Mytilus edulis: one gene and its partner. Each later gene encodes a partner of the first gene's protein in a complex. Links are inferred from orthologs where the notes say so. Each region holds a gene or a part of one and is shown in the gene's direction. Other genes may lie near its edges.

Region 1 (17,628 bases):
AGACGCGCGTTTCGTCTACAAAAGTCTCATCAGTGACGCTCGAATCCAAAAAAGTTAAAAAAAAAAAAAAAAAAAAAAAAAAAAAGCCAAATAAAGTACGAAGTTGAAGAGCATAGAGATCCAAAATTTCTAAAAGTGTTTCAAAATACAGCTAAGGTAATCTATGCCTACACAATGTTGACTCTTGAACCCGGTTTTTTCTAACGTTTTGGCATATAATGTCTGTTTGTTTTGATCTCACACTGTTTTGGGACTCTCGTACAAGTGAGAAGTTTAGCTAGCTATAAAACCAATTTTAACCCACCATATTCTACATAAGGAAATTCCTGTACCGCGTCCATTCGTTTGAAGAGCTTTTGATTTTGCCATTTGAAAAGGGACTGTCCGATTTGAATTTTTCCTTGGAGTTTTGTATTTTTGTTATTTTATTTTTAACCAATTGTCAAAATCAATTTCTCAACACTGATATACCTCTGTGCATTGTATATTGCGCTTGCTTTATTTACAACCACTGGGTCAATGTCACTGCTGGTGGAGTTTTTATTCCCCGGGGATATCACCAGGCCATTAGCAAGCACTTCTGTGTTGACTAGAAGTATCATTGATATGGTAATAATTATAAATTAAATGTTTACAAAACTTTAAAGGAGTAGGTCCAGTAAGACCCCTTTTTGGCCCCAAAATATAGCAGTTTTACAAAATTGTTAAAATGTAAACTTTTAGTTATTTATTGGATAGTAGAATGGTGCTGCTACATAAATATGGGCTGTTTTTGACAATACAATGCACATATATTGGGTACTAGCACCATTAAGTCATGCTAAATTACTGAAATCTTAACAATTCCAGCATTTTACTTAAATTTTAGACGGTTTCCGTGTAAAACGAAAGTGGCCGCATTCGTGTTCATCCAAAATATTGAAATGGAAGTTGTATTTAATGATAATACATAACATATATAAAGATTAAGGATGAACACGGATGCGGCCACTTTCGTTTTTGAAAAGTGGTCAAAATCTTTCGTCAGATAAAACTGAAATTTGAGGCCAAAATCGGTCCTTACCGGACCTACTCCTTTTAGAAATACTAAGGCAGTTCTACCTCAGGAATAGATTACTTAAGCTGAATTTCGCAAATTTTAAGGAATTGTTGGTCCTCAATTCTGTTCAACTTCGTACCTTATTTTGTCTTTTTGTAGACGAAACGCGCGTCTGGCGCAAATACAAAATTTCAATCCTGGTATCTTGATGACTTTATTAATGTATCTCAATTGAAACGTTACGCTGGTGCATGGGACGTGCATATTTCACAAAAACTTCTCCAACAGAGTTACGAAGAATGACGACTGAATAAGTTTTAAGGTGATCATCAAGAATTCGTTGACCGATTATGTTTCTCTGCTCATTTTTTGCATTCCTCAGTAAAGGCGTCTTATTTCACCGATTGTGACACCTTGACGGAGTTTGAAATCTTTTTCGCATGGTGGGCGAAGCATGCATTGTACGAGACGCTTAATCTCTTAACGCATTTGGTTTGTCGAACTCCTTTTGGAGATTAATCCATTCCCTCTGCTTTTGTTTGTTAAATTAATATGTCTTCTCAGTAATAATTTATGAGATTTAAATATCGGTAAACTACTGTTGCCTAAATCTACAATACAACATTAAAAATCACTTATGTTAGGGATTAAAGGGCCCCAAATTAATACAACTTACTTTACTGTTTTACTCATTATTTAAGGCCATGCAGTTATCTGTAATTGTTTACATCCACCTCATTTGAACCCTAGTGGATGGTTGTCTCGTTGTAAATGATCCCACATCTTCTCATCTTATGTACACTATGTAATGATGTGATATCTTTAGGGTAATTTCGCAACAGGTGTACGAAACCTGGAAAATGTTATATGGAGAAGAAAGTTTGAACACAACCTTTGATTGTTTCAGTGTATCTATGACTAAACTTGTTAGAAATGCATTGACGTGCCAATTTTCGTCCGTTTGTCTTTACAGATATTCTATTTGAAAATCGTTTTTATATCACTTTACATGCTGCACGCTACATTTGCAAATTATATAAACTTTATTTATAAGGTATTGTTCCGAATGCAATAACTGAACCAGCAACTAAACGGTAATGGACAGAGGACAACTGGATTGGCGCTACACAAGTAAAACGGTCGCCGGCACGAAATGGTTGACCCAAACCCACGTGTCTAAATTCGCAATAAACATTATTCGCGGACTAACATATTTTTAAGATACCAGGAAAGTGGTCCGACTGAACATATTCGTTTTCTACTATGTGACATGGCAGGAAACGTTAACCTCGTCCGCCATCGATCAGCATGGATTCCATGCGATCATCTGCGTTTTTCATCTGTTGGCAATCATAGCACTTATATTCGTATTTCGTTATTCGAACACCGGTAAACTCATGTTGCCTTTTATCAAATAGTTCATAAGAATTATCTATTAGTACTCAAGAGTATAACAGGAATCGCGAAAATATTGGGCAATACAATAGACACATGAATAGACCACAGCCACCACAATCACCAACTCATTCGAAAAAGTAGACGAACAAAGACAAATAACATCATGTTCCTGTGTTTGAGGAAGAATTTGAATACGCTGCTACACAGGATTGACTTTGTTCGGGATGTTGTATGCATGCTTTAATGGTTTTGTCTCTGGTCTAACTCTTACTGAACTGAAGTACAAAAGCAAATCTCTCAGAGCTATTGAATATTTATTCAAAGGGCATTAACTCTTACTTTATTTTTAATGTATTATTTGGTGTTATTTTCACGATAGGGAAATACCTTATATGTGTTTTTCTAATTTTATTTGCCAAATGTTTAAAATCAAATGTGATTTCTTTTTCAGATAAAGAGACAACATTTAGAAGAAACAGATTTTTTCTTTAACATGCTTGGTATTATGTGTTTTAAGAAATGAAGATAATTAAGAACTAGACTCAACAATTGACTTTTGTCGTCAATATTCATAAGAATGATTATGCCTTTAAAACCAGATTTGATTAAGGCTTAGACTTGCAGATTGAACAGACACGTCAATTAATTAAATCGTTTTACACTTTCTATTTTGAAAAAAATAATTGCTTAAAATACAATTAAAGTCGCAAACGTCCTAAGAAACAGACAGATATTCTCTTCCCAATTATGTTTATTCTCAAGATTCCATAATTGTAGCACACTGACTTAAATAAGAAAATGCCTGTACCAAATCAGGAATATGACAGTTGTTCTCCAATCGTTTGATACGTTTGAGCTTTTGATTTTGCAATTTGAATACGGACTTTTCGTTTTGGAGTTTGGTATTTTTACAACTTAACAAAACCTAATATGAAGAGTAATCTCTCTCTATCGTTCCCTGATTCTCATTTTTGTTACTTCTGCATCAACACAAGCAACGAAAATAACATACAATACTGTAAACCATTGACCAACAAACATGTTTTCAAAAAGAAAAAAAACATTTCAAATTTAAGAAACATCTGTGACTCTGATATTGCTTTTCTACCTCAAGAATAGATTACCTTAGCTGTATTTGCCAAACTTTTAGGAATTTTTGGTCCTCAATGTTCTTCAACTTTGTACTTTATTTGGCTTTTTTTATCTTTTTTTATTCGAGAGATACTGATGAGTCTTTTGAAGACGAAGCGCGCGTCTGAAGCATATACAAAATTTCAATTATGGTATCTATGATGAGTTTAACTAAACTAAAAGTAAGAACATCAAATCTTATTTGGAGGAAAATAACCTTTCAAACACAAATTTAAAAAATGATACACGATGGGAGATACAGTTCCCTCAGACATCAGGTCTGTAAGATTCCTATAATTTAGGACAACTATATTAAATTTATATAAAAAAAAAAGTAAAAAAAGTAATATAGCGTAGACATGAAAAGAGGGAATATCTAAATTAAAACAATGGACAGATAATTTCCTCCAAAATTTCACACAGTAGCTTCTTAATAGGAAGAAAAAGAAGGGTATTAACATTAATCTTTAACCTCTCTTTCCACTATATAGATGATCTCTAACCTAATAATTTAAAGTTTGGTGACTAACGGTTGAATGTATCTATCCAATCCAACTTGAGATAAAGGATATAACAGATACAGTTAAATTTACCTCAAATCTTGACTTAAATCTAGAAATTGACAAAAAGGGTCGATTGAAAACAAAACTTTACAACAAAAGAAGATGATTTAAGCTTTCCAATTGTTAACTTTACATTCCTATGTTGTAATATTTCAGCAGATCCTGCATACTGACTATATATCTCTCAGTTGATAATATGTGTTACGGCTTGTATTTCCTATCGTAATTTACTTGATAGAGGTTAACTGGTCACAACCAATGAAACGATCTATCCAAGATTTTTAAGTTGAGAAGTTGAAATCATTCCTTCGAAAATTTTATGGACGCCATCACGATTTGTTCGACCGTTCTTGAATATCTGTTTTAACAAATACGATGGATATGTTCCAATTGTTGTTACCACAATCCTGTCCACTTTTCCCCATAGATTGTTATCTTCCAAACAAGACTTATCGTCGGGTTTGTGAGTATAAATCCCGAATGACGCAAGCCAGTGCTTTCGACTAGGATTGTCAGTTTCCATCTAAGGTCTGTTATTTTCTCTGATCATCCCCTTGTCCTCCACCGATTCAATTTTCTACAAGTCTCGAAACTGAAAAAACAAGAGGCTGTCTTGAACGAATGACTGCTGTAAAACTAAGAAATTGTTGTTTATCTCCTTGTGTAGACTGGTTCGCCTGTCTAGATCAATGTGCATATTACATATTTCATATATCAACAAGGTGATTATATATAGCGGGATCCCAGTCTATCTCCTTGTGATACATAAATTCGCATATAAGTAGACATAAGTCCGTTGTGCTTAGGATGTCAAATAAATTTAAAAAAAAAAAGTGTCGGAGTATGTTTTAATAAATCTACACGATAAGTTCCCACATTGTAAATATGATTAGAGACATTTATGTTAAGGTCAAGTTACAGCAAATGAGCTATTTCACAGATTTCAGTAAAAAAAATATACAACTTTGGCTCGTTGATCTACAACTGAAAATCGAAAAAATAATGGATTTATCTCATTTATCATTTGAAATATTACTAATTGAATTATTTAAAAATGGGCCGGGTAAACATTCGATGAATGCATTATTTTTTTTCGATTTTCAGTTGTAGTTCAACGAGCCAAAGCTGTATGCAGAATTTTAGCAAAATCTGTGACACACTAGTAGCCCATTTACTATTCCTTGACCTTCAGCTGAATTTATAAATTTCAATTGAAACTAGCTGCCACGAAAATGTTAACACACCGTAGATCTTCCAGTACTAAAATTAAATAACAATATGAACGTCACACATTATATTTCTGTGATTGTATCTTACGATTCTTTACGACAGATGATAAAGCAAATCTGAAATCAAGTATATTTCCATGCCTTATCCGGTATATCATGCACTGTGTTATAACTCTAGATTCTACTGACGCGAAAGGGTAACACTAGGCCACCGAAATCTGAGTTTTAGTGCAGTCTACATGGCCAGGTGGACTGGTCCAGATACTAGATTGCTGGACACAGTTCATGCTATGTTGTCCCGATATACCAATAGTATGAGTTCGAATCCCGACGAGGAAAGAACTAAAATGTGTTTCAGCAAATTAGAATGAATGATCACTGTTAAACTTAGTAGACATGCTTTAGCTTATTGTGATGCATAAATTCGCATATAAATAGAATTGTGTACGTTGTGCTGGGAATGTCATATTAAATAAAATATGTCTGGGCATGTTTAAGACTGCACGAACAAGAGCCCTTATTGTAAATATGATTTAAGACATTAATGTTATAAGCTAAACTTATAAACTTCAATTCAAACTAGATGCCACGAATGGGTTAGCACACTGCAGAACTTTCTTTTCATTTGATAAGGGACTTGCCGTTTTGCATTTTCCTCGGAGTTCGTTATTTTTTTGTGATTTTACTTTTCTGGAAAAGGTAATGGGACAATCGCCTTTAGTTATCATAATGATATACTAGTACTCCGTAAATGTTTCTCCCTTCTTTCTTTTTCCATACACCGTGAAGTTTACTCCTTTATAATTGAATCATTCTATGTGTTCTTTTTTGGTAATGCTCTTGTCGATTTCCTTGTGTTTACATCGGATCCCTCATACTCATGATTTGTCGGTGTCTGCTTTTGGTTTGTTTGACTATATATTCGATTGGTGTCTTGTTTATTCCCCATCTAGTGATCTAGTTCACTCCGTAAATTTATAGACACCATCAAGAATTGGTTGATCTATACGATGTTTCTGTGTCTAACATATATAACTAAAGACATTTTACGACGTCTTAGATAGTTATACAGAGAGTGAATTTACATTGCTATACGACGTGTCTCGTTGTTTTATACATCCAACATTCATGTATTTATTTTTGATGTTTCTGTTATGCCTTCTGTTGTATAATGTGTTATGTCTTATCGTTTGTAGTCCAAATACTTATAAATCTGCCTTTCAGTGTCATCATTGTCATGAAAACTGTTTGGAAAAATATTGTGAAAATAATAGTATAAAATTCAAGATAGCATGTAAGTTACGTAAACGCGTCACTGGTTCTGATACCCTGTGGTGTCTGTCGTTGGTGGAATATGTTCATTGTTGTTCTGTGGTTAGCATGTTGTCACGGTCGACTTTTATATTATTTGTTGATTTTCTGTGCCGAATGCTGTGCTAGCCATTAAACCTGGTGCAACTCCCTATTATTTCGTAAAATGTCCTATACTAGATCAGGAATATGGCAGTTCCCTCTACTAATGTTAGTGTTTGTTTTTGTTGCACTTCGGTGTTCCTGTGTTTCCTCTTATAAGTTGATGTGCTTCCCTCGGTTTTAGTTTGTGACCTGGATTGGTTTTCTCTCAATCGATTTCAGAACACCGGTAAACTCTAGGGTAAACTACTCTTGCCTTCATTCAAGTATAATATCTGTACTTCAGGTTTGTTTGTTATTAATTATTATGAAAATATTCATTATTATCATTATTAATATCATTAACTTTTTAAAAGTGCATATTTCACAGACGACAAAAGTCCAATCAAATCTTTGCTTAGCGTATATGAACAGAAAAACATCACGGTACCGTACAAGACATTTATTGACTCACCAGATAGCCCTTCCGTGAGGAAGAAAGAATTCCAAACATCTTTATTTAACAATTATCACCTTTTTGTGTCAAATTAAACGTGTAATTCTCACTGCATGATATCGACCAGTATTATTTAATCAGAACTTGTCAATCTTTGAAAGATTAGGTTTATATTGTATGCGACATTACCGAATACTGATAAATTATTTCATTAATCATTGAAGAAAAGAAGGTCTCAGTGTCAGAGAGTTGCACGGGTTTGACTGGCATCTCACTGCCGTTTCATTCTGTGATTCTCTCCATTGTATCAAATCATTGATTTTTGTTGCTGAAATATGCTAATAAGTGTAAAAGACGTTTATATTCAGTTCATACTCTGTGCTGCAGTCATTTCCATTAAAACCAGTCAGTATCTGACGTATTCACTCAGCTGCACTATTTCAGAGAAAACAATTTTCTAATGAGAAGTTGTTGCTTTAATCATGCAATAAACGTATTAACGGATTTAGAACTATTTAAATGAAGTCCTGATTCAAGCTTGTCGATGGCCTATCTGTTTAAAAAGCAAATTTTCAATATGGCGATTTAAAAGAACTTCAATTAGTTTAATTGAAGAGTGGAGCTGGTATGTCAGTAACTGCTAGTAGTTCTTTGTTAATTTATGTTGATCATTGTCATTTTACTTAGTTTCTTCTGATACCTTTTCTTACATCGGAATCGGACTTCTTTTAAACTGAGTTAACTGTGAATTTTTCTGTCAGTTTGTTTTTATTCTACATTGGCTAGAGGTATACTTAGAGGTTTGAGGCCTCATCAACCGTGTTGGCGGATATTCGTTCAACAGTTTCAAAAAAGAAGATTTTTTTTTAAAGCCGTAGCGGCCATGTTTTCGGAGGAAACAAAAAGTAAATCATTTTTTTCTAGATAACCCAAGAATCATTCACCTTAATTCAAAAAAGATGATATGGTATGATTGCCAATGAGACAACTCTCCACAAGAGACCAAAATGACACAGATATTTTAACAACTATATGTCACCGTACGGCCTTCGACAATGAGCAAAGCCCAAACCGCATATTCAGCTATGAAAGGCCCCGAAATGACAATGTAAAACTTTGGTGTAAATTGGTTTAGTAGTTTCAGAGGAAAAGTTTTTTTAACGTTAGAAAACATGATAAACAAATTGTGTAAAATTGTCCTTAAAGAACAATAAGTCCTAGAGGGGTTAATTGATCATATTAACTTATTTGTAGATCTTACTTTGATGAACAGTTTTGCTGTTACAATTTATCTTAATCTATAAGAATATTCAAGGTAATAACAGGAAACTGCAAAATTTCCTTATAATTACCAATTTAGGGGCAGCAATGGTTGGGATGATGCCACTAAATTGGTAGTTGGGTTGTTAGGTTCATCTAAAAATTTCAGGGCTCATAGAATTTGGCCTTACGAACATTTTTCCCGTCAGATTTGCTCTAAATGCTTAGATATAAACCAAAAACTGCATTTTACCCTATTTTCTATATTTAGCTTCGGCGGCCATATTTTTTTGTACGAAACTGACAACAAAACACAAACTTTATTCTAGATATTCTAAAGATCATTCAGCTTAAGTTTGGTTGGAATTTGTACAGTTGTTTCAGAGGAGAAGATGTTTGAAATAGTTTACACCGCTCGGACGTCCGGACGACAACAGACGACAAAAGCTCACTTTTCCTTTGGAAAGATGAGCTAGAAAGCTTATGGATAGTAGTTTAGTAACTAAAATAAGCTAACAAAAAAAGCAGAAGCACTGTCATGAAACAGAACAAATTTTGACAAGGTGAAAACAATGCAAAAAAAGCCTCAACAGAAAAACTAGTTTTGCAGGCAAACATCGGCATGATAAGCCAGACCAAGTATTTGCCAATTTCTTTATATCATTTACGCATCACAGTTTACAGCTCATTCAAGAGTATGTTTAAAACCTGCATACCTTAATATTAAACTATGTAGGCCGTATATATGCAGTTGTTCTCACATGTGGAAGGTCTGGTGTTTCTGATTTATAAAAGAGTATAAAAGAATTTCGTACATATTCGCTTAATGTGGGTTTCTTTACCAGGAGTATGCTCCTTGTACTCGATTTGCAAGATCAAGCATGAAATCAGGCATTTTGATTGGTTGGTTTTGGAGTATGAGAACAAAAAACAGACTCGAAAGTTTTATGACTTCAAGGTCTGAACTACTGACGTTATGCTGCTATCAATGATAAATTACTTCTATAATTGATAGAGGAAAGGACATGATTTTTATCTGTCCACTACAATAATGTTTCGACAAAAGATACTAGACGAACAATACTAAAGTCTCAAATGAGTCTTTATTGGTCGCCAGACTTGATGACAAATGCATTTATATGACAAGCCGATTTGTAATATCATTTTATTTTTTTTTAATATATCAAATCAAATTACATGATATTCCCTGTCTGTTTAGTGAAGAATGATCATACCTTTCAAATCAAATTATTTCATATCCCCTTCCTGTTTGATGAAGAATGGGCATGCAGGTGTCCATTCACTATTCTGCATGCCAAAGAACGTAAACAATCGCCAGACGTCTGTGGTTCTACGATTTAAACCTGCTGACACATTTTGCGTACAACAAACAACAAATACGATACAAAAAAAAATGTGGAATGATTGGCAATGGGACGAATTTCCACCACAGACCAAATGAGTTTATGTTACCATCTAGAGATCTTTGTACGGCCTTCAACAATGAGCAAACCGATATCTTAGAGTAAACTATAAAGGTCCTGACATGGAAATGGATAATTAACATAGAAAACGTAAAAGCTTCTTTTTTTTTATCGAAACCTTTAGTATTAAGCTTCCTGTTTAAAATTTAGATATCAAAATACAGGACAGGACAGTTTCCATTGTTAGTATATATCAGCTTTATTCAAATTCAGTCCAGCAGGAAGACCGTAACTTGACCTATAATGGTTTACTTTTATAAATTGTGAATTGGATGGAGAGTTGTCTCATTGGCACTCATACCACATGTTCCTATAGCAATATACAATATAAAGGATATGAAGAAGTTAGAATAATGTATACTATGCCGAAATATGAAAAGTACCGTAAGCAATCACTACACGATAAGTGCAGCCCCCAGTCCCCGTTTAGAACTTTTAATTGGTTTAAATTGCATTTCACGGTTCTTCGCTTAAACTCTTGTGTAGTTTTCAACTATATTTCTATATCTGAAGGAATTTTTTATTTTATATTAATCAAATCATGTAAAATTAAAATATGATGGACACTATTTGTGGTTGATATTAAAAGTTTATTTAGTTATTGGCCCTAATCTCCTGACTTTAAGGGTGGAAATTTTGCCAGCGGGCTGTGTGTAAAACATCTTCAGATGAGCCAAGTTTCAAAATCCTCATAAACAAATACCAATGATCATCAATGCTCTCTCTTGGATTTTTACATCTTAATTGTGTTTTTTTCCACTTCAAACTTGCCAGGTAGCTGGGCAATGATTCAGAGAAAAAAAAAGAGAAAAAAAGTTAATAATCAAATCTATGGCGAAAAGTCTGTTCAGATATCTACCAATACAATTTAGAACATTAAGTTGATAGAGGCCTTCTTACAAATCTCACTATTTTTTGTCAAAATATTATCTGTATTCTATAGTGTTATCAAGGATTTGTATAGTAATCATTGGTCGGTTATAAAGGGGCATAAGTTAATTAACACAAAGTTATAAAGGAATGTTTGTAACGTTTATTTTTCGCTAAAAAAAAGAGCAAGAAAGTAAGTACGGTCACCCATTTTTTTCTTTTAATTTCTAAAAGCAATTCATAAGGATTGATGGCTTATCTTCACATTTAATATTTCAAGATTAGACCACTTATATTTTTTCAGATTTTTTTCTAATCTTACATTTTTTTATTTTTCTTTACCTCGTGTATCTTCTAAACAAGCTCGGTAAAATATGAATCTAACTAACTGTAAGTGTTTAACGACCTTGAATAGCTATACAGTAATATGAATCTGAAAATAGCACAATTTTGTTATACCCCATACATTCCGGAAATATTGTCCGTGTTTGTAATAATTTATTATTTTAAAATAATATAAGTATCAACCAATCAAAAATTTGGTTGCGTTCTTTTAAGCCCCTATTTCTCATTGGTTGTTTCGAAAGCCCACCATATTCGAATGTTTATTGTTTTCCTGTTTAAAAATGAAGCCTAAAACTGAAAAAGATAAGAATCAACACATACAAGTTGCAGTTCGTTGCAGGTAAAACTTTTTTATTTTACAAAAGAGTGAGAACTCAACCGATTGCCAAATTGCCCGGAACCAACTCGCCCAAAACTCAGGCTCTCAGCTTTTCACACATGAATACAGAATACAGAATGAATCTTTGTGAGTCCTGTTAGTGCAATTACTGTGGAGGGGTCTTTTAAGGGACAACATATGCTATGGACGTACAGGTGACCCTAGTCCGAGATTACTCTGACGTCCAACGGCTGTTTTGCCAGACAAACTGGGGCTGTGGCGACCCCAGCTTGTCTGGCAAAACAGCAGTTGTACCTCTTCTTCTTCTTCCGAATACGGGAGTAGACTCCTAGGTTGGAGTGTAAAACTTCCCAGAACTTGTGTGCTATGTACATATGGACTTAATTTAAAAATAATATGACAAAGAAAAATCGTTTACAATAACATATACATACATAATTTATGTACAGTGGCTTTGTAGTTTAATAAGTTGTTGTTGATCCTTCAAATGTTAGAGTGGATATGCCACTTTTGAAGGATTCCAGGTTGTCAACATACCTATTGCTTCAGGTAGTGAATTCCAGTCGGAAATAGTGCGGGGATAGAATGAAAATTTATAGAAATCTTTATTTGTTGATATTTGCCTAAATTTATGTTTCCCACAAGTACATGTACGTCCATCAGATATTGTTAAATTGTCCTTAGGAACTTCAACTAACACCCAATTTATTTTATACATCATAGTTTTTTTCCTTCTTATTTCTAAATTTTCCCATTCCAAAGATTTAATTAAATTTGAAACTGCTCCAGGTGATCTGTCTTTATAATCATTGAAGACAAACCTGGCTGCCTAACGCTGTACCTGCTCAACCTGAGTGATGTGTTGTTTTTTGTACGGATCCCAGACATGGGAAGAGTATTCGACGACTGGACGGACAAGTGATGTGTATGTAAGGTTTCAAACCTTACGTGTGCAGTTTTTCAAGTTCCTACGAAGAAAACCTAATGTTTTATTTGCCTTACAGGTAATATTGTTTATATGTGTTCCCCAATCAAGATCATGGCTTATAGTTACGCCTAAATATTTACTGTCTTTTACTGCTTCTAAAACATGATTGTGCAATATATAATCAAAAGAGGAAGGTTTACTTTTTTTACTTACCTCAGAGTAATCTCGGACTAAGGTTTCCCGAGCTTTAATAGAATTTTAATAGGGTTACTCTGGATTTGTGCCTTGCTACCAATGCTGCTGCGCTTCAGTGCAGGAGTGAATAATATCCTGCTGACCTAGATAACCTGTGTTCATTATTCTCTAGTTTTTCCATTACTTTCAATAGATATAAATAAACAATCGATAATCATTTGAAAACTGGTCAAATGTTTTATATTATAAGTAATCGAAATTTAGGTTTGCTATGTCAACTCCAACAAGATAGAGGTCTTTGCCTGGATCAGTGTAAAAAAGAAATAGATAACTACAAATCTTTATGTCAAGCAGATTTGAATGAGATTTTCAATTTTTACGACAAAGTTCACTTTGCAATGAATCTTCTTGCACATCATGTACAATCAACTTTTGGATTTCTTCTACTAAGTGGTCTGTACAATGTTTGGAAGCATGCTTAGTGTAAGCCTCCCAACAAAATCAAAATTTAGACTGTTATGAGTCTGAGGTATTGATAAAGGCTTAAAAAACACCTTGTGTAGATTATAACCATGAATTGAAAAAATAATGTATATATTTATTAACTCTTATTATGCTTATTGGTGTTTTGAATACGCAAACATGTTGTACATTTACATTTGTGACTTGAAAATGTCTGCTAAAATATCTCCCCCTCAGCTGTCATAGCTGGGAGAGAGACCTCCCTCTTGGAAGGTTTCAAAATTTTTCCTGAACAAGAAAAAAATAAAATTAATGAAGCTAAATGATTCAGTGCCACAATAAAAATATAAAATTATGAAACATTTGTTTGTGTTAATACATATAATTTTGCTGAATGTAAATCAACGTGATATACACTGATGCAAAGCCAGAACTTATCTACAGACTCCATCTACCTTTGTTATCAACAAGTTTTTTAAAGGTAAACTGTTTTTTCTATTGGAAAAGTTGATAAACGGTCAACCAGCTCAGGCAGCTGTGTTGCTTTCTTCTTTCTATAAAAATAACATACAATATTTGCTACGGTTCCTGAGATTTCAATTATGAAAACTATGAGGTCATTTTTTGCTGCAGCAAATGTTATAATAATTCCAGTCAGGCAAACATGTGTAAATTAAATTTTTGCAGGGAAATCTGGCAAAAAAAAATATAATTCACTTTCAGGAGTGATTGAAAGACTTTTTTAAGTGTTAAGATTTTTTTGTGAAAAGACCAACAATTTCTAAGAAATCTTCAGTTTTGTAATTCATTTGTAATTTACATTTATTTTTTATCTATTTTCAGGGGTATAAACTCTTCAGAAAAAAGGCAAGGCTCCTATTCAGTTGTTGATTCCAATGGAGACAAGAAGGAGATAACAGTTAAAGAACGCTTAGGAATCAATCCAACTACAAAGACCTACAATTTTGACCATGTCTTCCCACCAGCAGCCTCTCAGCTTCATGTTTATACCAGCATTGTTATACCTATTATTGAAGAAGTGTTACTGGGATATAACTGTACTATATTTGCGTATGTTTGAACAATAATCTGGCTGTTAATTAACAAGAATGTATATTTATGTATGCAAAGAATGAGTAATTTTTCCAAAGGAACCATTGATGATAATAACCTTCATTGGTACTATTTTACGAACCCTCTTGGATTAGTTTTTCATTATCTTAAAAATCAGCTGAAGAGGTCAAAATGAAATAAGAGAACCATTTATGATATTGATATTATTTATAAAGTCAATTAATGCTTCATTGTAATTATTATAAGCATTGGCACTTTTCACTTCCATGAAGATTATGTGGTCCTACACCTTCATGACCTTCAGTCATGATTCATTTTCTTTGAATGTTTACATATTGCCATTTTAATTTCAACATTTTGCATTATACTAATTAATATACAATAAGGGATCTATCTGTGTCTACAGTTTATTAAATTGAAATTGCACATGTTTAAGTTATATGAACAATTTTGAGAACATATATATGGAGTTTAAACAAGCATTGGAAAATGTGATTTGTCTTGCACAAACAGTAATGATCAGTCAGCAGTCTCATCTAAAAAACATTTTTCATTATTAAGATCTTTTGCTTCTCACCTTCAGATATGGACAAACAGGTACAGGAAAGACATATACAATGGAAGGAGAGAGAAGTGATGACCCCAGTGTATCCTGGCAAGAAGACCCATTGGCTGGTATCATACCTAGAGCTATGTTTCATATCTTTGAGAGACTTCAGAGACAGGTAAAAGCGATAACTAAGTGTAGAAAACTTTCAACTGCTGACGATACTTGTGTTTGGTTTTAATGTTCCCAAATTTATGAAATACATTGCAACAAAATTTGTTTTTAAATCACAAGTAAAAGTAGAAATGAATTTATTTTTAAAAAATCTGCTTTGCTAAACTAGTTGTTAACATGACTATTTCCAGTTTTAGTTCTCTATCTAAGCTATTAATTTATTTATTTCTTACTTAATTTGTTTGTTTTGAAGGATGTTGAGTTTTCCATCCGTGTGTCTTTTCTGGAATTGTACAATGAAGAATTGTTTGATCTGTTAGGATCTACAGACGACCCACTTAGACTCAAAATATATGAAGACAGTTCTAGAAAGGTTTGTTGTTTGAAGAAATTATGTTTTTGAAATTTTTTGTCTTATTTTGTGCTTACAACTGACACAAGATGAAATTGCACAGTGTTTTAAGGGAAAATCAAGAATCCTAGTGCTCTGGGTTTGTTTCTTCAGAATGGTAACAGTATATCTTTGACACAAGATATATTTTTGTTTGGAAATTTTCACAAATGTAGTTCAATGTACAAAGGTGGCCCTCCAAACATTTTTTTCACTGGATTAAACGATATATATATAATACAAGATATTTTAAAGTAAAATTAAGTTTAACAGCATTGTCAGATTATTTCCTTTCAATTGACTGAAGGATGATTATAAAGAAAATAAATACTTGAAAAATGAAATTATGGTTTTTGACCATGCTATAAATATTAACCCTTTCGCCGATGAGTCCCGTTTTACTGGGATTGTAATACCTCTTTTATATTTCCGGCTAAAAACAGTGCAAACATGAGTTATCTTTCTTTGTTGAATACCTGGATGAAAGTGTTAACATGGCGCTTTCGTTGTTGAAAACCGTGTCAAAATCAGAGGAAATTTAAGGAATTTACGAGAATTTGAAATGAGGGAACATTTTTTTTTAAAGAATATGGAAGACTTGAAGTCAAACTAGTATACTTTTTTGACATAAAATGTTGTTTCTTGTACAAAACACTTGGAATGGACATCGTTCAGTGTAAGGAATTTGTACAGCCTCATTAAGTTTTTCAATATTTTGCCGTTTTGGGTAAAAAAAAATACGATTTGGGGCCAAAGAGCAGAATTTTAAGAACTTCACCTAGATAATGCTGAAAATTTGAATATTTTGTGAAGAAAAAATTATCAAAACATGAACAAAACTGTGAACATGGTGTTAGTGAATGAAATAAAGACACAAATAACTACAGACAAGTTTTTATTGACATTTATTATGAAGATCTCCAACTTGAGTAATAGTAGCCAGGGAAGCCACCGTCTCAGAGTAGCTTCTGTCTGAGCAGCTATCAGTGAAAGGGTTAAAACAACTCAGAGCCTTCCCAGATTCATTTTAACATTTTAATTTAGTAATAAAGGGTGAAACATTGTAATCATTGTTGACTTCTGATTTGTGTTCTCGTCCAGTATCTTTTGATTACACAGATGTTTATTATCTAGAGTAAATCCAGGGCTCACGCTACCAGGCGACTTGGGCGAAGAAGTCGCCTTCCCGACCGTCACTTCGCTTTCCCCGACCCCCAAAAGCGAAAAACAAGTCGCCCTGTCCATGACGATACTCGCTTTCAGTCGCTTCCGTCATCAGACATTTTCAATTTTTACCAAGCTGATGAAACATCAGTTTTTTATTGATAATTAAAGAAATTCAGACATACACGATTCATTATCTTTAGAAAAGAAGTTGAAGCATTGTCTTCGCAGTGTGTAGCAGTTTATTTGATAAAAATACAACTTTTTATCACTTCATGCATTTCTGCAAGTTCTGGTGCTTGTTACTCGAAAACGTACATCAACCTGAATTTCGGCGTCAAAATAAGTTTATTTAAACGTGATAAAAGTTGCCTCCAGTAAATTTTTAATCCATTTATTGCATTAAAAACTTCATGTTCCTTTCCAAATAACTTGTCAAACATCGTTTATTTTTGTAAATTTTCTTGCATTCGTCCGCCATTGACCGATTTCTAAACTACGGATCTGAACCGGGGCAGCTATGACCGAAATCCGTACTTTTGCAATAATTACTACGGACGAACGGATGGAACAGCTGACAGAAGAATATTGATCCCAGAGGGAAAAATTACGCATTCAACACGCATAAAGAGACTTTTGGTTACATCTACATGATCTAATTGATTGGTGTATATAATTCCATATATTTTTTATGGATTGTTTCAAACTATTGATTAAAGTTGCTTAACTCTGAGACTATCATACTAATATCAATATATTATGGCCCAGCTTAATAACTTTTATATTTTTTTATTAGAAACACTGAATTTCATACACAAGATATTTTAAATTAAAATGTAATTGATATATAATAATTTCTTTACATTTTTTATTTTTTTTATTATTTTTTTTAGTGCTAGATATATAGTTGGTAGCAGGGTTTCCGCTGGCGGTCGCCATTTTCGCAATTTAAAAAAAAAATTGTGGCGATAAAAATTCGTCATTTGCGAAAGAATTTGGCGAAAGAAATATATATAGAACGATTTGTTTACCTCCATCTTGTTAATTTACTTTTTTCGAGTTTCTCGGACTGTACCCGATCAGACAATACTCGGAATTCACCTTGACCTCATTAAGATTTGGACAGAAAATCAATAATCAGCTGATTGCATTTTATAGCTATCGACATCAAAGGACTAATTAATA
Region 2 (17,423 bases), on another chromosome or scaffold:
GAATGTAAAAGGGAGTTTTCTCCCCTCTTGTATTTAAAAATACGCGTTTGGTGATATAACTCATTAACTAAATATAATAAAGACCTATGGTCTTTTGATTTGAGGTCCTTGGTTTATGACCTTGAAATTGATCTCAAGGTCATAGCTTAATTTGACGTTCTAGATTTTGACCTTTGCTTTTATTCTATATGTATACATGATAAAGATATACAACTTTTAGAAAAAGGTATCAAACCATTTAACCTTGTAAAAAACAACCGGAAGTGACCTTTTGTAAACCGGAAATAGCTATTTTTTTGTACTTTATTAATATAAAAGTATATAGAACCAGATATTTTTGGAATCAGTGTCAAGTAAATATTCAAATATAATCGAAAGTAACATTTTTCAAACCGGAAGTAACAAATTATCTCCCTTATTTAAAAAAAATGTATGGAAACAATATATTTTTGGAATCAGCTTACTAGGAGCTATCATTTGACGATTGAAATGACATTTCAAACTTAGTTTCACAACTTTTCATATCAAAATACATTGTTTTGATGGAAAGACCTTCAATTGTTCTCTGAACAATTGGTTTTTAATTATTATTATTTTTTTTTTCCGCCACATTCTGAAATTTTTGTTTCGCAATATGTCGCTTAGATATTTTGTATATTGTATCGTATAGTTTATACGGTTTTAAATCTCACCCTGCTAAGACGAACAATTTTCTTTGTAAGAGTTATCTCCCTATTCACTGTTTATCATTTGTGTGCATCTCCTTCGTAACAAAAAAGGATATCGACAAAATTCTTTTTCTTAATTGTTCGTTACATCCTTAGGAATTTTTGGCTAATTTGGATCGAAGCGATTTGATGAAATTTTATAGGAGTTATATACCTTTAAACAATAAATTTGTCGGAATGTTTTTTTAACTTATAAATCATTAACCGTACAACCCTGGAATGTTTTTATATGAGTCCCCTAGGTACTAACTTAGAAAATGAGGTCAAGGTCAAAGGTCAAGGTCAAGTTCTCAATTGTGACTTTTGCTTGTTTTCGCATTTTCTCTGACACTTTGAAAGATACATATAAAAGAACAAGTGCAAAATGTCTGCTTTATTGTAATGAAGATATGCTATATTTAGACTTATACAATTTAATGGCATCTTATAGGAGTTGGTGCCCCTTAAAGGTCTTGATATGAGGTTATTTCATTATAACTTCAACTAAGTTCATTCTAAAGGCATTTGACCTTGTACAAAAGGTTAGGTGACAAATGACCTTGAAAAATGACTACCGGAAGTGACCTTGAGAAAACCGGTAGTAGCCTTTTTCGCAATTTTCTCATATCAAAATACTCAGAATCCATGAATTTCGTCATATAGATACATAAACTGATTACTGAAGACTAAAAATGACTTCCAACAAACGGAAGTGGCCAATTATCTCCCATTCTACATACAAAAGTATATAGAAACTATTTATTTTTGGAATCAGTGTGAAAGAAGCTTTCATATGAGACCGGAAGTGACATTCATTTCACCGAAAATAGCATATTACCTCCCTTATATCACTCAAAAATATAATTAAACCATTATTTATCGCATCAGAATGAATCTCCTTATCAAAATTTCTTTGATGTGGAAAGACTTTCAATTGTTCTCTGAACAATTGGTTTTTAATTATTATTATTATTATTATTTTTTTTTTTTTTTTCTTCCGCAAAATTTTTTTCTTGCGATAAATGTTTGTTTCGCAATATGTCGCTTAGATATTTCTCATATGGTATCGTATAGTTTATGCGCTTTTAAATTTCACCCTGCTAAGCCGAACCATTTTCTTTGTGAGAGTGATCTCCCTATTCACTGTTTATCATGTGTGTGCATCTCCTTCGTAACAAAAAAAGATAGCGCCAAAATTCTTTTCACAAATTGTTCGTTACATCCTCAGTAATTTTTGGCGTATTTGGATCGAAGCGATTCGATGAAATTTTATAGGAGTTATCTACCTTTACGGAATAAATTTGTCGCTATATTTTTTTAACTCATAAACCGTTAACCGTATAACCCTGGAATGTTTTTATTTGAGTCCCCTGATTCCTAACTAAGAAAATTAGGTCAAGGTCAAAGGTCAAGGTCATATTTTAGATTTTCATATGTCTTTGATTTCCCTATAATTCTTGAATGGTTATAGATACAGAAAATTTAAGCAGTGAAAAATGTTGAGTACTTCAAGGGGCAACTTTGTTACTTTATGATTGTATTGGTTTTACCATTATGTAAGGGACATAACCCCCATTGATGGTTTATAAAAAGCCATTATTAGGCAAAACTCTTAAACAAAAGGTCCTTGACCCATAGGGTCTTTTGCAATGACATTGTGAAGCAATGACCTTGACAAAGGTCACAAGGTCAAAGGTCAAGGTCATGTACATATGTGATTTGGGGCACTACTTGAAGAATATAATGTGTGTTTGCCAACCAACCAATCAATCAATCAATCATGATCATGATCAATCAACCAATAATGATCATGATCATGATCAATCAATCAATCATGTTTCCGTCTCATGTGTTTATTATAGGGTTCAAGATATTCTTTGTTTCTTTTTCGCTGTTTCAATTGACCCTATCCATCGTGTTTAACCAACCAACCAACCAACCAACCAACCAACCAACTAATCAATCAATCAATCAATCAATCAACCAATCAATCAATCAATCAATCAATCATGATCATGATCAACCAATCATGTTTCCGTCTCATGTGTTTAATATAGGGTCCAAGATCTTCTTTGTGTCTTATTCCGTGTTTCAATTGACCCTATCCATCGTGTTTAACCAACCAACCAACTCACCAACTAATCAATCAACTAATCAATTAATCAATCAATCAATCAATCAATCAATCAATCTGTATGACTGTTTATTCATGAGTTTATTGAAGGAGCAAACTCTTATTTATTCAAGAAAAAATGAAATTTAATATTGTTCTTACGTCACTTCTGAAAAAAAAATCCACATGTTCTCTGAAACTACAAGTACAATCGACCTCAAAATTTGCAGTCAGCAGGGCATACATGTACTAAAAGTTTATAAAAAAACTTGGTGCAGATATCTTTCCCAGCTTTTCCTAGAGAAAAGAAATGGCAATGCCGTAAAAATCGCTTGCTAGGTCCGTAAATCTCAGTAAAAACCTACAATAAAATGTCCGCTCTGAGATTGAAATACTAATCTGTGTTACAAACAGGTGCTGAAAAATGTACATTATCAGAAAATAATCAATAAATGTGTTTTAAAGTTACACCGGATCAATTAAATCCAAAACATGCACTGCTTGTGAACTGTCATCAAAATGTCAATTTCCTACAATGACAAAAGAAATTACATTGTGTGCGTTCCATCTCTAAACATGTTGTCTGTTTAACGTCCCGACCTAAAGAGAAATAAAAAGACTAAGTTTTCGTTATTATAAACCCAAGTCACGTGATGTCTCCTAAATCTGGCGCGCGCGCTGTACCTAAAATAAAATAAAAACTTTCCAAACTAAACATGAAACTTCTCCGGTAACAATAATATAGACCCCATACAGAAACAAACAAACAAACAAACAATCAAACAAACAAACAAACAACCCCCCCCCCACCCCAATTCAATTAATTTTAAAGGGGGGAAAGACCGCCTACAATTGCTTTTTTAAAGCAATTGATTTATATTGTAAAAAACCTTTTTAACCATTCTGTTCCGTTAATAAAAAAAAAAAAAAAAAATTCCCGAGACCCCCTTTTGTCCCCCCCCTTTTTTTTTTTAACCCTCCACTTACAACTGCATGTAGGTTGTGTGCTATCTATTCTATCAACGTAAAACGAACGACAACTCCAGTTTTTTCCATATTATTAGGTCTTTCCACTTTTCTGTGGAAAGTCCTATTGTATTTGTTCTGATTATTATTATTAAGTCTTTTCACTTTTTTGTGAAAAGACTTATTGTATTTCTTCTGATTATTATTATTATTTTTTTTTTCCGCCACATTCTGAAATTTTTGTTTCGCAATATGTCGCTTAGATATTTTGTATATTGTATTGTATAGTTTATACGGTTTTAAATCTCACCCTGTGAAGACGAACAATTTTCTTTGTAAGAGTTATCTCCCTATTTACTGTTTATCATTTGTGTGCATCTCCGTCGTAACAAAAAAAGATATCGACAAAATTCCTTTTACAAATTGTTCGTTACATCCTTAGGAATTTTTGGCTAATTTGGATCGAAGCGATTTGATGAAATTTTATAGGAGTTATCTACCTTTACAAAATAAATTTGTCGGAATGTATTTTTAACTTATAAACCATTAACCGTACAACCCTGGAATGTTTTTATATGAGTCCCCTAGGTACTAACTTAGAAAATAAGGTCAAGGTCAAAGGTCAAGGTCAAGTTCTCAATTGTGACTTTTGCTTGTTTTTGCATTTTCTCTGACACTTTGAAAGATACATATAAAAGAACAAGTGCAAAATGTCTGCTTTATTGAAATGAAGATATGCTACATTTAGACTTATACAATATAATGGCATCTTATAGGAGTTGGTGCCCCTGAAATGTCTTGATATGAGGTTATTTCATTATAACTTCAACTAAGTTCATTATAAAGGCATTTGACCTTGTACAAAAGGTTAGGTGACAAATGACCTTGAAAAATGACTACCGGAAGTGACCTTGAGAAAACCGGAAGTAGCCTTTTTTGCAATTTTCTCATATCAAAATACTCAGAATCCTTGTATTTTGTCATATAGATACATAAACTCATTACTGAAGACTAAAAATGACTTCCAACAAACCGGAAGTGGCCAATTATCTCCCCTTCTACATACAAAAGTATATAGAAACTATATATTTTTGGAATCAGTGTGAAAGAAGCTTTCATATGAGTGGAAGTGACATTCATTTCACCGGAAGTAGAATAGTATCTCTCTTATATCACTCAAAAATATAATCAAACCATTCATTTATCGCATCAGTATGAAGAATCTATCTTATCAAAATTTCTTTGATGTGGAAAGACTTTCAATTGTTCTCTGAACAATTGGTTTTTAATTATTATTATTATTATTTTTTTTTTTTTCTTCCGCCAAATTTTTTTCTTGCGATAAATGTTTGTTTCGCAATATGTCGCTTAGATATTTCTCATATGGTATCGTATAGTTTATGCGCTTTTAAATTTCACCCTGCTAAGGCGAACCATTTTCTATGTAAGAGTTATCTCCCATTTCACTGTTTATCCTCTGTGTGCATCTCCTCCGTAACAAAAAAAGATAGCGACAAAATTCTTTTTACAACTTGTTTGTTACATCCTCAGTAATTTTTGGCGTATTTGGATCGAAGCGATTCGATGAAATTTTATAGGAGTTATCTACCTTTACAAAATAAATTTGTCGGTAAGTTTATTTAACTCATAAACAGTTAACCGTATAACCCTGGAATGTTTTTATTTGAGTCCCCTAGGTCCTAACTTAGAAAATGAGGTCAAGGTCAAAGGTCAAGGTCAAGTTCTCAATTGTGACTTTTGCTTGTTTTTGCATTTTCTCCGACACTTTGAGAGATACATATAAAAGAACAAGTTCAAAATATCAGCTTTATTGTAATGAAGATATGCTACATTTAGTCTTATACAATTAAATGGCATCTTATAGGAGTTGGTGCCCCTGAAATGTCTTGATATGAAGTTATTTGATTATAACTTCAATTAAGTTCATTATAAAGACATTTGACCTTATACAAAAAGTTAAGTGACAAATGACCTTGAAAAATGACTACCGGAAGTGACCTTTAGGAAACCAGAAGTAGCTATTTTTGCAATTTTTTCACATAAAAGTACTCAGAATCCATATTATTTGTCATATAGATACATGAACAGATTACTGAAGACTAAAAATAACTTCCAACAAACCGGAAGTGGCCAATTATCTCCCATTCTACATACAAAAGTATAGAGAAACTATATTTTTGGAATCAGTGTGAAAGAAGCTATCATATGAGACCGGATGTGACATTCATTTCACCGGAAGTAGCATATTATTTCCCTTATATCACTCAAAAAGATAATTAAACCATCATTTTTCGCATCAGTATAAAGAAACTACCTTCTTATCCAAATTACTTTGGTGTGGAAAGACTTTCAATTGTTCTCTGAACAATTGGTTTTTAATTATTATTATTATTTTTTTCTTCCGCCAAATTTTGTTCTTGCGCAAAATGTTTGTTTCGCAATATGTCGCTTAGATATTTCTCATATGGTATCGTATAGTTTATGCGCTTTTAAATTTCACCCTGCTAAGGCGAACCATTTTCTATGTAAGAGTTATCTCCCCTTTCACTGTTTATCCTCTGTGTGCATCTCCTTCGTAACAAAATAAGAAAGCGACAAAATTCTTTTTCCAAACTGTTCGTTACATCCTCAGAAATTTTTGGCGTATTTGGATCGAAGCGATTTGATGAAATTTTATAGGAGTTATCTACCTTTACGGAATAAATTTGTCGGTATGTTTTTTAAAGTCCTAAACCGTTAACCGTATAACCCTGGAATGTTTTTATTTGAGTCCCCTGGGTCCTAACTTAGAAAATTAGGTCAAGGTCAAAGGTCAAGGTCATATTTTAGATTTTTATAAGTTTTTCATTTCCCTATAATTCTTGAACGGTTATAGATACAAAAAAATTAAGCAGTGAAAAATGCTTGGTACTTTAAGGGGCAACTTTTTTACATTATGACTATATTGATTTTACCATCATATAAGGGACATTACTCCCATCGATGGTTTTTAAAAAGCCATTTTTAGGCAAAACTCTTAAACAAAAGGTCCTTGACCCATAGGGTCTTTTGCAATGACCTTGTGGAGCAATGACCTTGACGAAGGTCACAAGGTCAAAGGTCAAGGTCATCAAATCATGTGGTTTTGGCACTATTTAAACAGTTTTATGAGTGTTTGAATTTCAACCAACCAACCAACCAACCAACCAATCAATCAATCAATCAATCAATCAATCAATCAATCAATCAATCAATCAATCAATCAATCAATGTTTCCGTTTCATGTGTTTGATACGGGATTCAAGGTTTCTTTTTTTCCGCTTGTTTTAATTGAGCCTATCAAACGTGTTTAACCAACATGTTTAACCAACATGTTTAACCAACGTGTTTAACCAACCAACCAACCAACCAACCAACCAAACAACCAACCAACCAACCAACCAACCAATCAATCAATCAATCAATGCATGTTTCCGTTTCATGTGTTAAATTTGGGATCCAAGATGTTTTTTTTCGCTCGTTTAAATTGAGCCTATCTAACGTGTTTAACCAGCCAACGTGTTTAACCAACGTGTTTAACCAACGTGTTTAACCAACCAACCAACCAACCAATCAATCAATCAATGCATGTTTCCATTTCATGTGTTAAATACGGGATCCAAGATGTTTTTTTTCCGCTTGTTAAAATTGAGCCTATCAAACGTGTTTAAACTACGTGTTTAACCAGCATGTTTAACCAACGTGTTTAATCAACCAACCAACCAACCAATAAATCAATGCATGTTTCCGTTTCATGTGTTAAATACGGGATCCAAGATGGTTTTTTTTCGCTTGTTTAAATTGAGCCTATCAAACGTGTTTAACCAGCCAACGTGTTTAACCAACGTGTTTAACCAACATGTTTAACCAACGTGTTTAACCAACCAACCAACCAATCAACCAATCAATGCATGTTTCCGTTTCATTTGTTAAATACGGGATCCAAGATGTTTTTTTTCGCTTGTTTAAATTGAGCCTTTCCAACGTGTTTAACCAGCCAACGTGTTTAACCAACGTATTCAATCAACATGTTTAACTAACGTGTTTAACCAACCAACCAACCAATCAATCACTTAATGTATGTTTCCGTGTCATGCGTTTAATACGGGATGCAAGGTCTCTTGAGGTTTTTTTCCCTTGTTCTAAGTGACCCTATCAAACGTGTTTAATCAACCAACCAACAAACCAACCAACCAACCAATCAATCAACCAACTAATCAATCAATCAATATGTATGACTGTTTCTTTATGACAGTATATTGAAGGAACAAACTCTCAATTATTCAAGAAAATTTTTATTTTATTATTGTTCTTACGTCTCTTCTGAAAAAAAAATCCACATATTCTCTGAAACTACAAGTCCAATCGACCTGAAAATTTACTGTCAGCAGGGCATACATGTATTGAAGGTTCATAAAAAAACTGGTTGCAGATATCTCTCAAGACTTTTCCTAGAAAAAAGAAATGGCAATGCCGTAAAAATCGCTTGCTAGGTCCGTAAATCTCAGTTAAAACCTACAATAAAATGTCCGCTCCGAGATTGAAATACTAATCTGTGTTACAAACAGGTGCTGAAAAATGGACATTATCAAAAAATAATCATTAAATGTGTTTTAAAGTTACACCGGATCGATTAAATCCAAAACATGCACTGCTGGTGAACTGTGATCAAAATGTCAATTTCCTACAATGACAAAAGAAATTACATTGTGTACATTCCATCTCTAGACATGTTGTCTGTTCAAGGTCCCGACCTAAAAAGAAATTAAAAGACTAAGTTTTTCTTAATATAAACCCGCGTCACGTGATGTCTCCTCAATATTGCGCGCAGCGCTGTATCTAAAATAAAAGAAAAACTTTCCAAACTAAACATGAAACTTCTCCGGTAACATAATAATATAGACCCTTTACAAAAACAAACAAACAAACAAATACCCCCCCCCCCCCTTTTTTTCCAAATCAATCAATAAAAAAACCCAATTATCCATTCATCAGAGGGGAAAGACTGCCTAACAATTGTTTTCAAAACAATTGCTTTATATTTATGTTTTTTTTTGTTTTGACACCTTCCAGCGGCCGATGTTACTTTGTAAGGCGTCAAAGCAAAACGTATAATAGCCTTTGAAGACGTCATAACTATTTTGACTAGGACTGTTGGGTATTAACCATTATTGATATGATTGTAATTTGTATCTGCATCTTTTTTTTTATATGCTACCAATAGTAAAGGCTTTAGTGACTAAAGGATGTCATTTTAAAGCTCCATGTTTCTGATTTCTTTACATCTTACTTTGCCTTTGGTCCACAAAAACATCTGTGCATCGCATGATTTCAAACTGGTCAAAAAAATTATTGAGTTCATAGCTAGAGGTTTTGGTCCCTTGAGACCTGAATATCTCAACACTGACAAGAATCAAGTCGAGATACAGCTGCACGACTCCCCCTTTTCTGAGTATACTTTATACATTCGTTGTGATTAAAGCAAATGAGTTCGTGAGTATCTCTCAAAATCTTGATTTAAGTCAATATCTCGTTGTTTGTAACTATAATTTTAACAGTAAATGTCCAATACTTACTGTATAGTTGAGTTTACATAGCACGCACGTGTTGTTGTTTTGGTTTAATTAATCGGCAATCTTTTTGTAGCCGAAGTTTCGTATGAAATAGTTTATTATTAAAAGGAGAGTTACTATAATAATGTATATTCCAATTTATTATCATAAAAGTGTATAATTATTTTTAACTATAGTTTTATTCATATATTATCTTTATTCGAAACAAATCATCAAAATAATAATGGCAGAAGACGGAGAAATCGACATCGAAGGAGATTTTGAATTTAAACTAGAGTTAGCATCGTTTTGTCAATATAAAAACACATAAAGCATTGTCCTATAAATTTTTCAAATAATTGCTCAAACCATATTTTTTTTAATTTACATAACATAACTGACAACTGACAAAACTGACATCTTCTTGCGAAAAACAAAATGTGTATAGTCTGTACTTTTTAGAAAATAGCATAATCTAAATTAAGTAAAAGATATTGAAAAGTGCATTTTTTCAATGGCAGCATATTTTGGCAGTTGACTTTTCGCAGTAAACAGATATATAAATGGACGAGTTGCTAAATCAATCCTGTAGTTGAACTCTCTGGCCTAAAAGAATCGGCATTCTCTAAGCTAGTCCAAATAATTATGACATTTTGAAAGTCTTTCATAATTTATTGCTTTGACCCCTTACAGGGACTTTAAGGCATCAAAGAAAAAAAATATAAAAGCCTTTCGAGACATCATAATTATTCGGATTACCTCCAAGTCCAGTTTATGGTATTCTGTAGGTGTCACTGTTGACACTGGATTGTCTCTATACAAATATGAAATTTTATTTTGATTCGGTTCACATGTAACAATACAAACATAAGCTCTGAAGAGCTTTTTACCGTATATAAATTAACATAAATTCAATATGCAGACAAGATATATAACAGCACAGGCATATTGAAATACATGCAAAGCACTAATAAAATACATATCTAAACAAGCCAAAGCACAACTAAAATTTAGGTACAACTGAAAATTAAGCACAAATAAAAATATAGCACACATGCAAACATTTAAGGCATACTTACATGTTAAAGCAACTTTTAAAATATGAAAAAGCTTATCTACATGCAGGACAACAACAATTTGAACCATTCCAAGACTGTATAAGGCTCTTAAATTAAGAAAAAAATGTTTTCAGTCCTAAAATGGTCAGATAGGCTGTTCGACAGAGTAGTAATTGCAAATTTAAAACTTTTCTTACCAAACTGTGTAGTTTTTACATGTGGTATATCCAGTATATCTCTAAAAGAATATTTACAATCTTTTAAATTTAATAAATCATGTAAGCAGACTATAATAAAAGTAAATATTAAATTCTCGCATGTACAATTTTCACTCTCGTAAACTAACTCACATGTACTTTATTAAAAATTTATGTATGAACGTTATAGTTTCAAACTTGGAAGACCAATAAAGTACATGTTTGTTAACAATTACCCAACTGGCCCTAATTTGAGAACCGATTCTGTCATTTTGTATCCGTCACAAATTTATTTAAAAAAAATAATAACTGAACTTGATGTCAAAAGCGAATATAGGATTGCCAATAAATTAAATCAAATTTGCTCAATGTGGGAATGTTCAGAATCATAAATATGGCAGCTGGTTTAATGAAACTTGCAACTGACTGATGGAATGAAATAAACTCTTTCTTGTCCTCCCCCTTCCCCTATAAAAAAAGAACAATAATCAAGGGAAATAATTCAATCATAAAAAATATGGGTTAACTTGACCCATAAACAACTTGTACCATGGCAAGATGGACCACAGGACTCGAAATCAAGACACAACAGTAAAATTGAATTGAAAAATAAGATAGAAATACTGATGTATTAACAATGTTTTTCTTCAATTGGCGGGGCTTACAGTTTTAATTTGCATAAGGACTCCTACTGTTTATTTGAAGATGTGTGTGATCAGGATGATTCCCATTACAATCATAATTACTGATTTCTTATCACCTATCATCAGATCATAGTCACCAAACTGATAGCCTAAAGAATTGATTTTGTGAAATGGGAAAAATAAAATAGATTAAAATCTACAAATTTATAAAAATTTTAAAAAATCCTACAAAAAGTTTTATCCTGTCCTAAAAAAAAATTCATTTAAAATAAAAGGAATCAAAAGTATATATGAACATTATAGAAGAATAACGACAAATGCATTTTTTTGTAAGCGTCATAGTTACATTATATATTTACAATTGTTTAAATGTGACATTTTTAACATGATTTTATACTTAATTTAACAACAAAATCAACGTGTTTGTCTCATTATTTACATTGTAAACACACATATAAGGTTACATATTTTAACAGAATCAATGTATATGACTACATGTATGACTGGACACTTCATTGATGAATTTATCCTAAACACCTGTCTGTAGATGGACTGGTCTATGATAAGCTTATTTGTTTAACCCTGCTAAGTGAAATAAATCAAGTAATACCAACCCTTTTTTTATGATGTAACCTTAATCAGACATATATTATTTTTTTTGTCAGATAGTAGCTTTTGTTTATGTCTTTTGTTATGCATGTGTTACAATGCATATATTTACAAATGAAATAGTTGAATTTCTGCTGTAATCTGTGGTGTATATTTTCAGGGCAAACGATGTTTACGATACAAATGAACTTCCATCCAAAAGTGCTAATTTGCTACCTGAGTACACTAATCCAGCATGGATGCTTGAACAGGTAAAGAGTATATGACTGCACAAGTTGTTGTATTTAAAAAGTAAAATCACAAAAAAACTGAACTCTGAGGAAAATTCAAAACAGAAAGTTCCTAATCAAATGGCAAAATCAAATGATAAAACACATCAAACAATTGGACAACTGTCATATTCCTGACTTGGTACAGGCATTTTCAAATGTCAATGAATGTAGAAAATGGTAGATTGAACCGGGTTTTATAGCGCTAAACCTCTCACTTGTATGACAGTCACACCAAATTTCATTATATTTACAACGATGCGTAAACAAAACAGACACAATAGCTAAAATTGTCAAAATAGGGGATACCAAACACCTTGACGAAAAATGATTTGGATTGTTTAATTTTCATGAAATTTGACAAAATATTTACTTGGACCCATTGACAAGAGAATAAAAAAAAATAAAAACTTGAATCACACACTTCATCAAAAAAAAATTCATTGGATATACCGGTATACATTGTATCAGTTTGGCTTACACTAATTTTGATCACTGAGAAGCTTAAATAATATTGCCTATAGATAGAAGTAGATTAACACATTCAGCTGGTTTTTACAGAGTTATCTCCCTGTAGTGTTATATTCCATCTTAAAACACTCAAATAAAAATAAAACAACAGACTCAGGAAAGTAAAATTCATGTGTAAACATAAAATATAATTTTTTGATAAATTTGAACTCCCTGCCGACCCTTATGAATTGGATTCAGGTTTTTATTTCATAAGAATAGGAGTACACATCACAGTAAATATGTATTGTCTTGAAATATATCTCTGCAGATCTGGGAATTTCTGAACCAAAGTGAGATATATATAAATTGAGATGAACCTTTTAGTACAAAACATCAGTTGTTTTAACATTTCATGATAGGATAAGGATAATTTAAAAAAGAAAGTTGTAATTCATTGACAATGGTACTTTTTGAAACATTCATAGACAGAGTTTGTAAAGTTTCAAGTAATTTTTCTTCGCACAAATATTATCATATGTTGCACTTAAACAATGAATTAGTTAGTACATGTATTTATAAAAAATTTGTAAGGGTTCCGCGGAACCCAGTGTCTCGCCTATTTTTGCTGTAAATCGCAGACTCAACAACAATGAGGAAAAAAATCAATAAAATATTCCTCTTGTTACTATTTTATGATTGTAAGAAAATCTAAGTCCATTTAAAAGTAAATTACAGAAAAAACGGAGTAATCTTTTTACAAACTTTACTTCTGGATACAATCTTATGATCATAAATAAGCTTCTGTCCAAGTTTGGTACAAATCCAGGATAGTTTAAGAAAGTTATTAAAATTTTAAAAACTTTAAACACAGAGTGAATGTAATGGTTCCCCGCAGAAAATCTAAGTCCATTTAAAAGTAAAATATGGAAAAAATGGATTTATTTATTTACAAAATTTACTTCTGGATACTATCTTATGATCATAAACAAGCTTCTGTCCAAGTTTGGTACAAACCCAGGAGAGTTTAAGAAAGTTATTAAAATTCTAAAAACTTTAACCACAGAGTGAATGTAATGTTTCCCCGCAGAAAAAACTAAGTCCATTTATAGTAAAATACGGAAAAAATGGAATTTTGTTTTTACAAAATTTACTTCTGGATACTATCTTATGATCATAAACAAGCTTCTGTCAAAGTTTGGTAGAAATCCAGTATAGTTTAAGAAAGTTATTAAAATTTCAAAAACTTTAACCACAGAGTGAATATTTGTTGACGCCGCCGACGACGCCGACGACGACGGAATGTAGGATCGCTTAGTCTCGCTTTTTCGACTAAAGTCGAAGGCTCGACAAAAAGAAGATGTGGTATGAGTGCCAATGAAACAACTCTACATCCAAGTCATGTAATATTTAAAAAGTTAACAATTTGTACATATTCTGATAAATGATTTGAATTATAAACAAAAGCTAAAGGTAAAGAGACTTATTATATGTATTTTGTAATTGCACATTCATTGTATCATTACAGCTTTTCTGTAGAAGCATGCATAGCAAATCTTTGATTAACTTGCTCGCTGTTTTTTTACTATGTTTTTTTACTATGTTTGCAAACAATTAAGATCAATTAAGTAGGCAGAGTTTATTTGTTTGATATATAAATTGGGATTGTTAATGTTTTTTGTCCAATTAAATTCACGGATATAGTATACAGACTGAAACTCTGCCTACCTGTTGTTTGCAAACATCCAAACAAATATACATGTTTGATCAATGGTTTGATTTGCATGCTTTTATAGAAATACTCTAATAGTTATAAATGTTATGTTTTAAAAAACACATCCATCTTTTTTGTTATCTCTACTGTAGAAATTAAAAAAAAAAAAAAAGAGTAAAACCTATCTAATAAAACTGAATTTTAAATCATACAATGATTTACTGTGTAAATAACTGCATTAAAACATTATTAACACTGTAAATGAAAACACACATTATTGTAGGGATGGAGTATGGATAGTTACATTGATGAGAAGTCTAAAGCGACTATCGAGAAAATGTTACAGGAAGAACAATATTATATGAATGGTCAGAATCGTAGGCGTAACATGAGAAACTTGACAACTCACAAGCAACCCTGGAGTGAAGAAGAAAAGAACATGTTTTATAAGGGATTGGTAGGATATACAATTTTATCATACTCATAGTATTAGCATGATTAACACACCAATAGTCATATTTAGGGGTCAAGTTTTCCTCAGAATGAAATTTGAAAAATGGATAAGACACAGACTATAATTAATCATTTTGTATTTGCTTTATACCTGAGACATAAAAAAATCTGACAATTACTGAGACTTAAATATCCATCCTTTTTCAAATGTCAGGAAGATATATGTAAACACTTAATTCGGTTTTGCTGGTTTGCAACCTATTGTACTTGTCCACTATCTATTTTTGTGTCAGATATCATTGTACATAGTTTTTTTTGTCTCTTTTGCAATGAAAGTTGTGAAAGTGAGGCTAAGGCTTGATGTTTCCAGTTTCAGTGACATAAAAAAACATTAAAATGAGGGCTGCACAAGCAAGACAGTAAATAGACATTTCAATTAACTATTTATTGATCAACATGAAATATAATTATATATGTTTACCTTATTTTTAAGTCATAATTAACATTATAATCTTAGTCATTGATGTTTTCTTGTAGGAGGTATATGGTAGAAGCTGGTCAAAAATTGCAGAGTTAATTCAAACCAGAACAAATCTACAAGTGAAGAATTTTGCACAACAATATTTTAAACAACAGGTTTGTTTATAGTTTATCAGAATAAATGTTTAGTCCCTCCTTTGTCAGACTTCTAATCCTGTTATACTTACAATGTTGTACATGTTGGGTTATGGTTAGGTTGTTTATCATTTGTTGTCAGGTTACTACAACTGAGAAGCATTCCTTCAATTGCACAAATGAGGCTGTTTGAACAGTTTGATGATTCTTTGCTTTAAAAAGTCATATTATGTATTGTGATTTTATTTTTATATGGTTCCTGATGAAATTTCATACTAGTCTGTACTGCTTATTTTTCTAAATTCATATTCAAACAAATACAAAGTGACAAAATCTAAAAGCTTTAATGATTTACATAAACACAACTGTTGTCTAGCTATATATTGGTCAGAAAAGAGTTATTCAGATAGATAGTGAAAAAGGCATGATTCCGTACAAAAATTATTTTAGATTTTTTGATCTGTCATAAATTTTATATCGTTGAAGAGAGCATTCATTGTATTCTTCTTGAAGTTAGGGTCATCTTGTCACAAAATTCTTAAGGAGCAATGTTTTCAAATCAAACAAAATGAATTAAGGAAATTTATGCTAAATGTTTGCACAAAATGTTCTCACAAATCAGTCATTTTATGAAGGTAATTTGAGTCGTTTAGACTTGCATGTTACTTTGTATTGTCTTGTGTTATTTTTTTAATTTACTATTATTTCTAGGAAACTTAGCTAAATGTCATTGTATACCACAGACAAAAATTGCAAGCATTAAAGTCTAGCATTTAATGAAAAATGAAAAAGAAGATGAGCTGTAATAATCATACTCTGGTAATGATTGCAATTTGCTTAGATTGTAAGTGCTGAATTAGTTTAAATGGTGTTTTAAATTGTACATATATATATGATATAATATTTCAGACTAAATGTCAGGATAAAGGTGATGAAAAGTGTGCGGACGAGAAGCCATATCCCTCTACATTGGAACAGATGTTAAAAGCTGTAACTACTGCACAGCCAACTGTATCTGCTTCAACCTTTACTATTAAGACAGAAAATCACATTCATCCTCAAAATTATTCCTTACTTGAAAAAACAGAAAATAATACGACAGAAACAAAAGTGACAGAACTTGAAAAAATGTTAACTTCAGAAACACTCCCGAGTACAAGTAGATACAAGGAAGAAAAGACACATGAAAGTATGAAGAAAAAACACAGGATTGAGGCCAATAAAAATAAGAAAAATAGATCTAATAATGCTACTGTTATAAAGCACCAATCTGAGATTATTGATTCCAAGCCACCAAAAGTTTCCAAACAAGCACCTCTTGTCAAAATTAAAAATGTGAAGGTTATTTCCTCTAGAGATATAACATCCACATGCAATGAAAGCATTGGTTTAAATGATGTTTTAGAAGTTGTGACAATACCCAGCGTTCAGTTGAGTCCAACATTAGAACATAAGCTGGAGAAATCTACAGGGCTCATTGAAAATCTAGATGGTTTCTGTGCTGTAGCTGACATTGTTAGTGGATCTGGTGACGGACAGGAAGATGAAGAAGATATTGACATTGACATTGAAAACGATGACGATGAAATGGACGACAATGTCATTCTTAAAAATAGGTCAACATCACCTAATTCTGTTTATGAAAGTTTACTCAAGTCAGCTAAAGTAAGATCAAAGAGTAACAAGACAGAAACAGTGATACAAAGTACAGAAGATGAAATGCCAGAAGAAATAAAAGACTTGGAAGAATCATCTTGTGACACAGAGAGAATGGAGAATGTCCTGGTTTCTGAATCATCAGAGGATGGATTATCTGAGGGAGGAAACCAATCAGATTCTAGTCAGCATGTAGAAAAAAGAATAGGTATGTTAAAAATGAAGGGTAATAGGTATAACTCCCATTGCTTGGTATTTATGTACTGAAGGGTAACTATGACTTTTGGATAATGCTTCCAGTTGAAATTTATATTTTGTAAAACTAAATTTTATGGTTTGGTTAATAGGATTTTTTTTCTCACAAAGTTTGCTTGTGATTAA

Evidence for each region.
Region 2: kinesin-like protein KIF11 (region 1) and histone H2A deubiquitinase MYSM1-like share a complex: the UniProt entries of both Homo sapiens proteins name them as parts of the large chromatin remodeling complex. The link is inferred for Mytilus edulis from reciprocal best matches to the Homo sapiens genes KIF11 and MYSM1.

Annotation. Positions count from the first base shown.
Region 1 is NC_092347.1:26,023,378-26,041,005, reverse strand, and holds the start of kinesin-like protein KIF11, read left to right. Parts: upstream 1-11,371; 5' UTR 11,372-11,449; coding exon 11,450-11,508; intron 11,509-13,936; coding exon 13,937-14,164; intron 14,165-14,750; coding exon 14,751-14,892; intron 14,893-15,141; coding exon 15,142-15,261; intron 15,262-17,628. UniProt on the Homo sapiens protein: Motor protein required for establishing a bipolar spindle and thus contributing to chromosome congression during mitosis. Required in non-mitotic cells for transport of secretory proteins from the Golgi complex to the cell surface.
Region 2 is NC_092344.1:113,160,580-113,178,002, reverse strand, and holds the start of histone H2A deubiquitinase MYSM1-like, read left to right. Parts: upstream 1-9,569; 5' UTR 9,570-9,621; coding exon 9,622-9,674; intron 9,675-12,045; coding exon 12,046-12,136; intron 12,137-14,601; coding exon 14,602-14,775; intron 14,776-15,308; coding exon 15,309-15,407; intron 15,408-16,295; coding exon 16,296-17,250; intron 17,251-17,423. UniProt on the Homo sapiens protein: Metalloprotease with deubiquitinase activity that plays important regulator roles in hematopoietic stem cell function, blood cell production and immune response.